Canis lupus familiaris: one gene and its partner. The protein of the gene in region 2 binds, or shares a complex with, the protein of the main gene of each other region. Links are inferred from orthologs where the notes say so. Each region holds a gene or a part of one and is shown on either strand. Other genes may lie near its edges.

The links.
Region 1: the proteins of SLC39A7 (region 2) and METTL9 are in contact, whole or in part, in a crystal structure (PDB 8GZE), measured with the Homo sapiens proteins. The link is inferred for Canis lupus familiaris from reciprocal best matches to the Homo sapiens genes SLC39A7 and METTL9. Residues at the interface, in NP_001070984.1 of Homo sapiens: Gly65, His66, Thr67, His68, Glu69; in NP_057109.3 of Homo sapiens: Arg114, Thr115, Asn118, Arg123, Gly124, Met126, Met179, Asn210, Asp213, Arg214, Val241, His245, Tyr247, Glu249, Trp255, Tyr295, Leu296, Cys297, Glu298, Asp300, Tyr306, Val307, Leu308.

The regions. Positions count from the first base shown.
Region 1 is NC_049227.1:23,462,355-23,468,917, forward strand, and holds the start of METTL9 (methyltransferase-like protein 9), read right to left. Parts: upstream 4,319-6,563; 5' UTR 4,196-4,318; coding exon 4,031-4,195; intron 1-4,030. UniProt on the Homo sapiens protein: Protein-histidine N-methyltransferase that specifically catalyzes 1-methylhistidine (pros-methylhistidine) methylation of target proteins.
Region 2 is NC_049233.1:2,816,274-2,822,800, forward strand, and holds SLC39A7 (zinc transporter SLC39A7 precursor), read left to right. Parts: upstream 1-2,519; 5' UTR 2,520-2,900; coding exon 2,901-3,311; intron 3,312-3,401; coding exon 3,402-3,570; intron 3,571-3,731; coding exon 3,732-3,785; intron 3,786-3,944; coding exon 3,945-4,109; intron 4,110-4,228; coding exon 4,229-4,369; intron 4,370-4,579; coding exon 4,580-4,776; intron 4,777-5,225; coding exon 5,226-5,498; 3' UTR 5,499-6,116; downstream 6,117-6,527. Other genes in the region: RXRB (retinoic acid receptor RXR-beta), read right to left, coding at 304-460, 979-1,226, 1,892-2,123; HSD17B8 (estradiol 17-beta-dehydrogenase 8), read left to right, coding at 6,345-6,390. UniProt on the Homo sapiens protein: Transports Zn(2+) from the endoplasmic reticulum (ER)/Golgi apparatus to the cytosol, playing an essential role in the regulation of cytosolic zinc levels.

The DNA of each region.
Region 1 (6,563 bases), on a different chromosome or scaffold from region 2:
TTTACTGGCAATTACCAGGGTGCCCTCAAGCACCTTCAAAGGGGAACATAAAGGCCCCTGGTATATATCCAGCAGAAGAGGGAGATCCTAGTGTTCCGAGAAATTGAGGCAAACACTTATATAGGGCTTCAACACAGGTTACAAGGAAAGAGACTCTTCAAAATCTCTTTGGTATTCAGCTGCAAAGGCCTCCAGGTTCTGGAAGGCAATTCAGAAGAGGATACAAATCCATCAGTTGTCCATCTGGCAAGCTGGCAACTGCTCCTTAGCACTGTTAACTCATGCCTGACTTTGGTCAGCCTTCACCACAAGGTAAACGAGGAATGAGGGGACAGGAGGCTGAATTTGTCCATTAGCAGCACTTTGACCTATGACTGTGATGTCCAAGTATTTTTTTTCATTTGGAAAAAACAAAAACAAAACACCAATAGTTTCAATTCTGTCTTAAATCCATAACTGTTTAAAAAGAAAAAAAAATTCCATCACTGTTTGTAACATAACACAGTTCTGAAGTTATATAAGGTGAAAAAATAACTATACACAAACTTTTGCAATTTTAAGTTAAACTTCACTAACTGCAGATAACCAGTGTTACCTGTGCTCTTAAAAATCCTTACAGTGCATCGCCTGAAGAAACTGTCCTGGCCTCGTTCCAGGGAGTTCCATAACAATTCTTTTTTCTACTCTATCAACTCAGAAACTATTGAATGGCCCTTTCAAGTTTCAATAGCTCCATAATAGTTGCATTAACTTTAAGTACTAGGTACAATGCATCAAAAACACTAGATCCAAAGTGTTTGTTGTTGCTACCTTCTTTTTAAGTTCTAAGCCTGCCCATACCAAAAAGCGACATATCTAGTTTCTCACTGCCTGGCTCTATTTCTTCCCAATGAGTCAAACTACCCACTGTGCAACCTGTGATTAAGAAATGTGCTGCTGATGAAGGAAGCTGGAAATTTTCTCTGGGGAAAACTCTTTTTCTGTAAGGGGACACACAATAAATACTTAAGGCTTGTAGGTTGTAGTACCTACCAATCAAGTCTGCCATTGTTAGTGAGGAAGCCCTTACAGACAGTAAGTAAATGAAGGTGGTGGCTGTGCCAACAAAACTTTATTTGTGGACACTGGAATTTGAATTTCATAAAAGAAACTGTCACATATTACAAAATATATTTTTTGTGACCATTTAAAAATGTTAAACTATTCTGACTTCATAGGCTATAACAAAAAAGTCAGTGAGCCCAATTTGGCCTGCAAGCCATATCCCAGCTCCAAGACAAGCCCTTCCGTGCTATTCTCTTGCCCAAAGTGAAAAAATAATCCCAGATTTGAAGCTAGCACACCAACCAAGTTATTAAAATGGTGCTGCTACTATAGTTTTAGAGCAACCTTAGCTCAAAAGAGCCTTATATTTCACCTCCAGGCAATAGTAACTAAATAGCAATTTTTAATGATAAACATTTCCCAAGAACTCTTTTAACCAGACTCCTCCACCATAATTTCTTAATAAAATAACCATAAAGAAAACTTGTGCTAAGTACAGTTCAATTAAATCCATAACCCCACTTTCATGCAAGTCCAAAAGAACCAGATGTGGCTGGCGATGGATCCCACACACCCAAATGAACACCAGAAAACCTTAGATGAAACTATAAATTTGAAGGGGGAAAGAATATTAGTGTTAAGTTACTTCATAAGTGAGATAGTTTATGAGGCACACCTAGGATGCTGCAATATAAAGCAGATAACAAACCATAAACAGACACTCTGCAGAGCGGACAGCGTCCTCTTTCACTTTATCTCACCATGCTTTCTACATACACATTTCTTTTGTTCATTTTTATCTTTATTCATAGGCAATATTTCATAATGTCAATGTCTCATCTCAAAATAATGTCTGGATTGATCATTCTATGGAAAAGAGCCAATCTCCCCCTAAATATTCAGAGAGTACCAGATTAGTCTTCACCTGGAGAACTTAGCTGCCAAACTGTTAGTCCAACTGGTTAAAGCACACCTGTGTACACACATACCTGAGTAGCTCAGAAGCGAAACAAAGTAAACGAAGTATCTGAAACCAGTATTAGTTTTCCTCAGAACCTAACTGATTCAGTTTTAAAAAGGTACACGATTAGAAGGTATCCCCTGTTAGGAGATATTCTGAGGCTATGCTAAGGATATATATATATTCTAACTACACTCCACAAAAAACAAATTACTTAATCAGCTTCTCAATTTTTAAAATATAACCAATTTTTCTACAAGCAGTGAAAACATATCAAGTGTGTTATAGTAGAAGTAATCAAGACAAGAATCATAAACACCTACAGCTAAGAGATTCGAACCATAATTCCACATCAATGGAAATCAGTCTCCTTTTTATCCTACCCAGAACCTTCTTTCTACCAATTGTTGAAAATGACATTTCTAATTCATTGTTTTACACCACCATCCATACGGATGTGTGACATTTTGGTAACTACATTATCACTGCGGTACTTTAGAGTCGTTTCTCTGAGAAGGATAAGTGTTAAGCAATTAACCCACAGCAAAGAATGTGGTTTTACAGCTTAAGATCACCTACTGACTTTAGGTACACACTCCCAACAATACCATAGGCATGATTCCCTGACAAATTGCAAGAGCTGTGGGGTCACGACAGAAAACAATTTTTTTCTTTCGTGGAAATTTATTATTTCCTTGAAAAACAGAAAAGGGGCCGTGACCGGTAATTACTAGATAGAAACTAAACCGCTACTTTTCTTAATGAATTGCTTTAAGTCCTTAGATAATTCTTCACGTGTAAACTCTCCGAACGCCTGGCATAATAAATGCTGTAACACAGGAAAAACAAACAAACAAAAATCTATGAAAAATGATGAGACGCAAAATGGGGAATAATCGCTTCCTGCTCCTTGCAAAGGCAAGATGTACTATAGACGCTAGCAATCCTAGGCCAGCACTCTGGCAGAGTTAGAAAGCCTCTTCTCAATGAAGGCAGGGTTAACCACACACTACATTACGGTCAAATATGAAATGTCACTTTTCCTTTTTTTTTTTTTTTTTTTTTAAATTTTCCTCCACTCTTCCTTCTACAGCTGACCTGCACACATACTTCTGTGGAGTGGCACAAAACTATCATGAAAAGACCACCCTAACCGGTCACATTGCAGAGCTCACGATCCGCAACTCTAAAAAGAATTCACTCCTGCCTAATTCTGTTTTGTTTAAACAAAAAACAAAAAACAAAACAAAAAAAAAAAATCCCTTCCAGGAAAAGCTTGCATCATCTTCCTTCTTACCACATCTTTCTGGTCAGATACCAAAACACTGAAGTTGCAAGGAGAGCTCGCTCTCTCTCTCTCTCTCTTAGGGAGGAGTGGAGGGGGTGGGGGGGAGGCTCAGGAGGATGGGAGTGTGAGGACCTGTCAAACACCCTTTTTTTTTTTTTTTTTTTAATTTAACTGCAGAGGGAAAAATGTCAGCCGCTTAAGCCCAGAGACTTAAAAAGGCTCACGATGCACGGTTACATTTCTTTATGGCCCTTTGTATGTTGAGAGATTGAAGCAGACAAACAAGGGTTGGGGTGCGGGGTGCGGGGTGGGAGGTGGGGGTGAGGCCGGCGGCGGCCGCGGGTCGCGCGGGTCACGGGCTCGGCCCGGTGGTGCAGACCGCAGGCCCCGGTGCCCGGTGGATGCCCGCGGCCCCGCGCCCGCCCCTAAGGTCCCGCACCCCGGGCGCCCCTGCGCCTGCGACCGCCGCCCGCGGCCCGGGAACAATGCGGGGCTCCGGGCCCGGGGAGGACCGGGAGGCCGCGCTCCGCCCGCGCCCGGGAACAAAAGGCGCCCGCGGGGCCCGGAGGCGGCGCCCGGCCGGGGAGACGTCGGGAAAACTTTCCGAAGGGCCGAGGCGACTGGGCGACAGCCCGCGGGGGCGGGAGGCGGCGGCTGCGGCCGCGGAGCCCCGCACAATAGCCCGGCCGCGCGGGAAGGCCCGGCCGCCACGCCCCCGCCCCCGCCGGGCCGCGTACCTGGTGGTTCTCCTTCCTGCCGCCCGCGGCCGCCGCCGGCCCGCCGGGGCCGCTCGTCATGTTCACGTACAGGGAGCGGGTGAGCGGGCTCCGCAGCGTCCACATCCTCCGCGCCAGCCACACGGACGCCAGGCTCAGGCACAGCCAGCCCACGAACAGTCTCATCGGGGGCCGCGGCCGCTCCTTCGGATCACCGCCGGCGCCGGGGCGAGGAGGAGGAGGCGCCGCCGCCTCCGGCCGCCGCCGCCGCCGCCCGGGCTCGAGCCATCGCGCCCAACTTGCCCATCCAGCCCCTGCAGGGCCGAGGCGGGGGGGCGGGGGGGCGGGGGGGTGGGGAGGAGCGGGCGGCGCGCACCCTTCCTGCCTCCCCCCCTTTCCTTTCCGCCCGCGGAACGCCGCAGCCGCCGGCACCGGTTTCCGCCCGGAGCACTTACGGGACGCGGCGGCGCGCTCCCCCGGCTCCGCGAGCCTCCGGCGGCGGCGGGGGGAGCGGGACAAAGGGAGCGCGCAGTCGCCGGGCGCGCGTCCCCGCCTTCCGCCTGCGTAATGGTGGAGAGGATTGCTCGCTTTCTTAGGGTAGGAGGGGGTGCTTCTTCCGAAGCGAGTTACTGAAGCGTCCCGGCCCCTCTAAGGTGGTGCCCTCAGCGCTTCTGGTCTTTCTTCGCTTTTGTCGTTGCCTCCGGGCGCCCCCACTCCCGGACCCCAGCAGGACTTGCAGCCGGTTGTGCAGACGGACCCCGGAGGAGGGCGGGGGGGGGGGGGCGAGGAGAGGGTGTCTCCTTGCGGTCTGTACGTCCAGACTGTCAGACCCGACACCTCGCCGGGGACGGACGCTGCCAGTTGGTAAACAGTGTCCTGTTTACGTTTAGAGCCGACGAGCCGGGCCCCCACCCCCCAGGGCCTCCACCCGCCTCTGCTGCAGCGGCAAAGCCGCCGGGAATCTCGGGGAGACCGGGTATCAGCAACCCCTCCTCCCAGTCCCGTCCCGCACGCCTGGCAGGTTGCTGGGTGCAGCTTCTAAGAGGCATCCGTGAAAGCTCTGCCACTGTTGGAAGCTCCTGCAGCCGGGGCACCCGCAAGTAATATTTTAATGTATCGATGACCCTGTCGGAGAATGAAGACACAACCCCGCCTCTCCCCACCCCACCCCCACCCCCGCTACCCCTCCTCAATTAGACTCCCTTGCCTGTTTCCTTGAACGGAAATTTGGACCCAACCAACGCTCTTCCAGCGAACTGGGTTCTAGGAGCAGTATTTACCCGATGTTTCTTTGATCCTTTCTAGCACAGGAGCCCTAGCAACGTTTCAGAACCGAAGGGGTCACACGGTGTTCCTGTGTCTGAAGTCCTTCCTGCTGCTATACCTCCAAGCTACAACTAAGGAGTTAACATAATTTCACGGGCTCTCTAGCTTCCCAGGTTTGTTTAGAAACTGCTTTTAATTGAACTCCACTAGAAATAATGTAAATACATTTAAAAAATTTTTTTTAGTTCAAAAGAAAGTAAGAAGCCTTTCCGTTTACTCTGATATTGCACTTCAGAGATGGTCATTTATGCCACGGTGGCATGGTGAAGAACAAAATTGTTCTTTACCCACAAACGTTTAAAGTAGGTTCTGAGAATCTCAGCTTGGCACTTGTCGAACAGGGACACCTTGTTGCTTAACATGAGGTAGGCTATAACTAACTAACAAAAACATGGGGTGGGGGGGGGCAGGGGAGGATACTTTGTGTTCTCTCTTTTCAGTATACTCCCTGACTGCTTCCTCCCAAAACTGCAAAGAGCCTGAACCTTCCTAAGTCTAGTTCAAACCTCTAGTGGTCCCTGGCCCAAATCATCAAAAGGCAACTGTGTTAGCCAGTCCAGATAATACGATTTGTTTACCAGGTCACCTCTCCCTCCTGTCTCTGAAATCAGTGTGAGATAAAGGAGCTCTGTCTGTGCCAAAAGAAAGCCTTCGTATTTCTAGAGGGGGGTAGTGGGAAGAGGAGGGTGAAAACAGCAAGAGTATATAAAGTGACATTTCATTTCTGAAAACAAAGGAAACAAAAGGTTTGCCCCCCAACTACAGAATAAACTTGAGGAGCCACAGCTCAGAGACTGTAAACTGTGTCAGATGAACAAGAAGCAACTAGATGGCTGCTGAACTCCTAAGGATTTGGAGGTCAGTTGACGGCCATGGAGCCTAGCATCTCAAAGGAGCAGATTTTCATTTTATCGGCCGTAGAGCCTAGCATCTCAAAGGAGCAGATTTTCATTTTATACCTGAGCAGCTGGCCTGGAAAAATGAATCATCCACACATTTAAAAGACTCTATAATAATCACAAAATAGTCAAATACATGTTATTTACGTTTAGCAAGCAAGCACAGGAAGAAACCAAAGCACAACACGATCAAATGATCTGCCTAAAGGTAGAGCAAATTCAATAGCAGACCTTTTCATAGAACTTGGTATCCCAGCTCGTGATCCTTCGATCCATCTAAGAAGCTTTGCTGTCTCTCTCTTCTCAGAGAGCCTCCTGAATTACAAATG
Region 2 (6,527 bases):
CTCACCAACTTCCCCTCAGCAAACTTCGTTTAAATCCACTGTGTTTGCCAAATAGAGATGGGGAACCCAGAAATGAGGGATGATCCAGTCCCACTCTCCTCACTGTTCAAACCCTGTACCAGCCCTCCCTTTTCTCTGACCATCCCCCTCCCACATCTGAGCTTCAGGTCCCTTAACTATCATCAAGCTTCCCCCCACCCACTTGCTCCAATGCAACCCTGTGAGCCTGTGGCAATCCCACAGGTGATGGTAAATGTCAGATGCTCTCTTTCTTCCTTTTTGGTGATCACCTGAGCCTCGTACCTGAGCTTCGGTCCCCGCAGATTGCACACAGCCTTTTGCCAGCCCCAGGACCACCTGGAGGGGGTGGACAGTGCAGGCCCCGGACCCCTAAGACTGGTGGCTTCACATCTTCAGGGGGGCCAGACCCACCCCCAGGGAGCGACACTGTTGAGTTAATCTGGGATGGGGGAAATAGGGAAGTCACAGGGAGACTCAATGGGAAGGAGAATCTCTCAAAGGTCATGGAAATCATCCCCTACCACCTAGGCAGGGCCTGCATTGCACATTACAGAGAACATTATTTACATTGTAGTCTCTGTGAAGGGCCACCCCTGGAGCACAACCCCAAAGAGATTAGACATACAGTTCTCCCTGAGACTGTGTAATACAGGAGCCCTGAAGGGCATGTATCTCAGGACAACAGATGGGTCACAAAGGGCAAAAATAACTGATAGATGAGTGGGACGTCAGCATAGGGTCAGCATAGGGACCCTTTTATAGGGTTGGGAAGGAAGCATGCACTGAAAGATCAGTCACCTCAGGAAGGGCAAGGGGTCTCACAAGGACCACAGGCCTGCCAGGATTAGAGGACTGGAAGGTCAGTGGGCCATGGGGAAGTTCACACAAGGATCTGGGGTCACAAGGAAAACAAGGAAATGAAAGTGGAGAGGCAGTCAGTGAGCCATGACCTCTCACCTGGGGACTGCTGACAGGCCCGGAGAATCCTGGGGGAGCTGGAGGGGGCAAACCAGGGGACCCCATGGAAGAGCTGATGACTGGGAAGGGGGAGCCCAGTTGGGGGGGTGGCATCGGGGGTGGGGGTGGGGCCCCGGAGCCTCCAAGGGTTGGGGCTGATGAAGGGGGGAGGGGTAACCCAGGGGGAGAAGGGGGAGGAGCCCCCTGGGAAAGGGGATTCGGGGAGGAACTGTCTGGGCTTCGGGAGTCTGAGGGAAGGGTACATAGAGGCACAGAGACACACAGACAGAAAGACAAAAAGAGAAAATGAGTCTTAGATCATCCAACTGGAGACTTTAATTCTCTCTCTAACCCCCACTGCACCCCTCCACCCCACCCATCCTCGTGTCCAGAAACACCCGGTTGTCAAACAACGGTTTAACTCCTAATTGTGGTGAGAAGAGGGGGTTGACAAAAGACAGGAGAGTTCGGGTGAGAAAGAATTCCAAGCAATATACTTGGTCACCCCCAGCTAGGCAGATCTTATGTGGGTGGGGCAGCACGTGGGGTGGAACGGACAGCCCCTCCATTCCCAGCTTGAAGCCGGATCGTACAATGGAAAGGGGCGGAAGAGACCCTTCCTCGGACGCAGGATCTGCCTTCAAACGTCCAGAGCCCCCAAACTCGAGGACTCGTGTCCCACGCACGGGACCTCAGGACTGCAGGGCCTCAAACAGCCAAAGCCAGGAGGGCGGAAGCTCCCCCTCCCCGCCCCGCCCCGGGGGGGGAGGGCGCTAGGGCCCTCCGGAGGGAGGGGACGCGTGTTTACAAACAAGGAGGCGGGAGCGCCAGGGAAGGAGCGCCAGGGGACGGGGGGGAGGGGTCGCAGATAACGCGGTCACTGGTTCGCCTGTCCGTCCGCTAGGACACTCACCCCGCCCGCTGTCGCCCATCCCGTCCCGTCCAGCCTCCCCCGGCTCCGGCTCCGGGGTTTGTTGTTCTCCGGCTGCTGCCGCCGCCGCCGCCGCTGCGGGATCCAGCCAGGGCCGTCGCCGCCGCCACCGGGAGGCGACCCCACAATGCATTTCTTTTCGCACCCCCACCGGCCCACACTGCCCTGCGGCATGCCGCTGGGGGAGGAAGGGCGGGCGAGCGGCCCAAGACATGATTCTTGGCTGAGTGCAAGGATACCGAAGAGGTACCAGGGATTCCCAGATATTGACCGGGGGACCAGACGAGCACAAGGAAGCCCCAGAGAAAAAGACTCTAGCCTGAACCGGGTCGAATTAAGCACTTCGCTCGGCTCTGTACCAAAATGACAGCGACGATATGGCAGCCATCTTGGTATAGACGGGAAGTCTCCGCGCTAGTTCCCGCCCCCTCGTCTAGTTGGAAACGGAGGAGGCGGTCTCCTCAGCCCTGTTAGCCGGCCTCGCCCAGCCTCCCCTCAAATAACCTCCAGACTTGCGCATGCGCGCCAGAGTAGGGCAGCTTGGCGGCCTCCAGAGTGCAGCCATATTGGTAAAGGTATTGGGACCGAGGGGCGACGGAATTTCCTGTTCTCGCGGGAGCCAGAGGCAGGACTGCCACGTCCGAGCAAACCGGGAAAGGAGAGGATCCCGAAGCCGGTGAGAATTCCCTGCCTTGCCCTACTGTCCTTTCCAGGCCTTTTCCACTACCTAGTGGGTCATAGAGACTAGGGCCCAGAGAGTCCGTAAAGTGAAGGAAGAAGCCTAGAGCGATGTCCCGGGGGCCCTATATCCGGGAGGGGGTTGGAGATAAAGAAACCAAGTCTTGGGAGCAATGTGGGTGGGCATAGAGCGGAATGGGGGAGCGTCCCATAGAAGTGGACGGAGGGCACGAATGAAGTAAAGCTGACCCCGCATAGGTATAGAGTTGAGGGTCAAGTGGAGTCACTGTCTCTGTCCCCTCTGGTCAGCGTGATGGCCAGAGGCCTGGGGGCCCCCCACTGGGTGGCCGTGGGACTGCTGACGTGGGCGGCCCTGGGGCTGCTAGTGGCCGGACACGGGGGTCATGGCGACCTGCACGAGGACCTGCACGAGGACTTCCATGGCCACAGCCACAGGCGCTCACATGAGGATTTCCACCATGGACACAGTTATGCCCATGGCCATGGCCACACGCACGAGAGCATCTGGCATGGGCATACCCACGGTCACGAACATGGACATGCACATGAGGATTTGCACCATGGCCATAGCCATGGCCAATCACATGAGAGCCTCTACCACAGAGGACATGGACATGACCATGAGCATAGCCATGGAGGCTATGGGGAGTCTGGGGCTCCGGGCATCAAGCAGGACCTGGACACTGTCACTCTCTGGGCCTATGTGAGTCCCCAAGGGATAGGGGAGAGAGGGGCTGGTTCTGGATTGTTGGGAATCTCCACACCACTTGACCCCTGACTTTCCCCTCACCAGGCACTGGGGGCCACAGTTCTGATCTCTGCAGCTCCATTTTTTGTCCTCTTCCTTATCCCTGTGGAATCAAACTCTCCCCGGCACCGCTCTCTGCTCCAGATCTTGCTGAGTTTTGCTTCGGGTGGGCTCCTAGGAGATGCCTTTCTGCACCTCATCCCTCATGCCCTGGGTAAGTGATCCTTGGCAACTACTGCAAATCTTAATGTATTTTATTCTTTAGGCAAAAGGCTTCTTTCATCTTTGTCACCCCTGACTTTGCAGTATTCCCCCAAATGCACGCTACTTGGGCAGGCTATTCCCTCATTTGGCCTTTTCTCCCCCTTTCTCTAGAACCTCATTCACACCACCCTCTGGAGCAGCCTGGACATGGACATTCCCACAGTGGTGAGGAAGGGGTGGATGAAGATGTGTTGGAATGTTGCCGAATGGGACCATGTTTCCCTCCCAGAATGGGGCCATGTTTCCCTCCCTATTCTCTTGCACTTGGGGAAGAAGAGTCTGGAGTCCACATCTCCCTTAATGTCTCAATGCCTCTGTTTCCAGGCCAGGGCCCTATTCTGTCTGTGGGACTTTGGGTCCTCAGTGGAATTGTTGCCTTTCTGGTGGTGGAGAAATTTGTGAGACATGTGAAAGGAGGACATGGACACAGTCATGGACATGGACACACTCATGGTCATACACAAGGAAGTCATGGGCATGGAACACAGAGTAAGTCTAGGAAGAACTTTCCTTGAAAAACACCTTAGCTGCAAAAAGGAAGAGACTTCCTTTTTGGGGATATTTTTGGAGATCTCTGTTCTCCACTCTTAAACAACTTCTTCCCTCAGAGTATCCTTCAAAGGAGAAACAGAGCTCAGAGGAAGAAGAAAAGGAAGCAAATGGGTCTCGGAAGAGGAAAGGAGGGAGCACGAGGCTCAAAGATGGGCCACTGAGACCTCAGAATTCTGAAGAAGAAAAAACAGGTTCAGGTGAGAGCCAGGGTTATTGATAAACTTGGGTAAAGTGTATCATGTTTTACTTGGACTATGCACTGTGGATAATGGCAGCTGTCTGGAAAACATGAAGGGGCTGGTGTGAAGTGGTCTCTTGGGGGGAAGAGGTAATAATGGCTGATAAGGGCTAGAACTAGGGGTGTTAGATGCCTCTAATCATTTTGTCTTTCTTTCCACTTTTACAAGACCTACGTGTATCAGGGTACCTGAATCTGGCTGCTGACCTGGCACACAACTTCACAGATGGTCTGGCCATTGGTGCTTCATTTAGAGGAGGTCGGGGGCTAGGGATCCTGACCACAATGACTGTCCTGCTACACGAAGTGCCCCATGAAGTGGGGGATTTCGCCATCCTGGTCCAATCTGGGTGCAGCAAAAAGCAGGTTGGTGATGATGTGCATCAGACATGATTGCCTCGAACTCTACCTCCTACTCACCCATCCAAAACTCAGAATTGCCTCTCAGTAGTTCCAAACAAGTTGTACTGTTAAGAACAACAAATTCTCCAGAAATGAGGGCAGAGAAATTCTGTTTCTTTGTCCTTTGGCTGAGTATTTCTTGAACTATGCTCCACACTCCATCTGAATACTTTGAGGGTCTTTCACACTGCTCTCGACCCTGACCTACTCAATCAGAAGGTCTGGAAAGGATCTCCTTGGTATTTTAAGATTTTACGGAAAGTGTCTATTCTAGATCCTTCTCTTTTTGCCTTCCTTTTTAGTTCCCAGAGACATCCACCTTGTCCATATATACCTATACCCTACCAGCCATGCCTAACCACTGATCATATTTAGATGTTGTTGAGTGTCTTCTGTTTTTTTCTGCCCACCAGGCGATGCGTCTGCAACTACTGACGGCGATAGGGGCACTGGCAGGCACAGCCTGTGCCCTCCTAACTGAAGGAGGGGCAGTGGGAAGTGAAGTTGCGGGTGGCACAGGTTCTGGTTGGGTTCTGCCATTCACTGCAGGTGGCTTTATCTACGTAGCAACGGTGTCTGTGTTGCCTGAGCTGTTGAGGGAGGCATCACCATTGCAGTCACTTCTGGAGGTGCTGGGGCTGTTGGGAGGAGTTGTCATGATGGTGCTGATTGCCCACCTCGAGTGAGAGGTGGGGTAAACCACCCCCGCCCCAATCCCAAACCTCTAGCCTCTCTAAGCCCTCCAGGTCAGGGGTCTGTGGAGTTTGGGGGCCCTGGCCAGGGACATCTGCCGAAGGAAGTTGTATCGTAGGGAAGTGTTAACTTTGGCATTTGGGCCATCAAGATTTTGCAGTCTTAAAGGAGCTGCAGAAGTGAGAGTGAAAAGTCAGAACGACCATAGTGTTAGTAATGTGCTGACCATCTTGGGTTTGAGGCTAATTGAGGCCATGAAGACGGCTGGAAAAGAGAGGGGGGTGTTGACAGCCTACTCGGTGTACCCTACGCAACCTGTTTTAGAGGACCAAGCCAACCACACAGGTTTCTCCGAGGTCCGCCTCCCCCTCTCACCTGTTGGTGGAAGCTTCAGGGAAGATCAGAGCCCTGGAAAGAGGCAGTAGCAGGAGGAGTCAGGGATATACATCAATTGAACATCAATCGTGTGTCCTGATTTGGGAGTGATTGAGGGAGGAGGTGGGTTGCTAATCTCATGGCCTGATTTTTTTTTTTTTTCCTATTGATATCACTGTTAGAATCGAGGGGTAGGGGTGGTGACCGGAAATAAAGTCCTCGGATCTTCCGCCCCACATGCGGTCTTTGTCTTTTTTGGGAGAATGGGGGCCCCTCATCTCGCGACTGCCCAGGCCCCCAAGTGGTGGTGTCTGGCCACGCCCCCGCGGTGGGAGGTCGGCCTGCGCTGGTGGCCGCAGATGGCCCCGCGCTGGTCGCGCCTAGATTGGCGCGGCTGCGCCCTGGCCACGCCCCCTGGCTGGGATTGGCTGAGTGCTGGGTGTCCGCCCGCCCGCCCGCCTGACATGGCGTCTCCGCTCAGGCTCCGCTCCGCGCTGGCCCTGGTCACAGGTTGAGGGGATGCTACCCCCGGGCGGGTTGGGGTGCCGGAGTGTTGTCGGGGTCATGCCCTCGGCGCCTGCAGCTTCTGTGACCTCTGGCCCCTGGTCCAGATTTTCCTAATTTTGCGCCCTGTTGACCTGTGACCC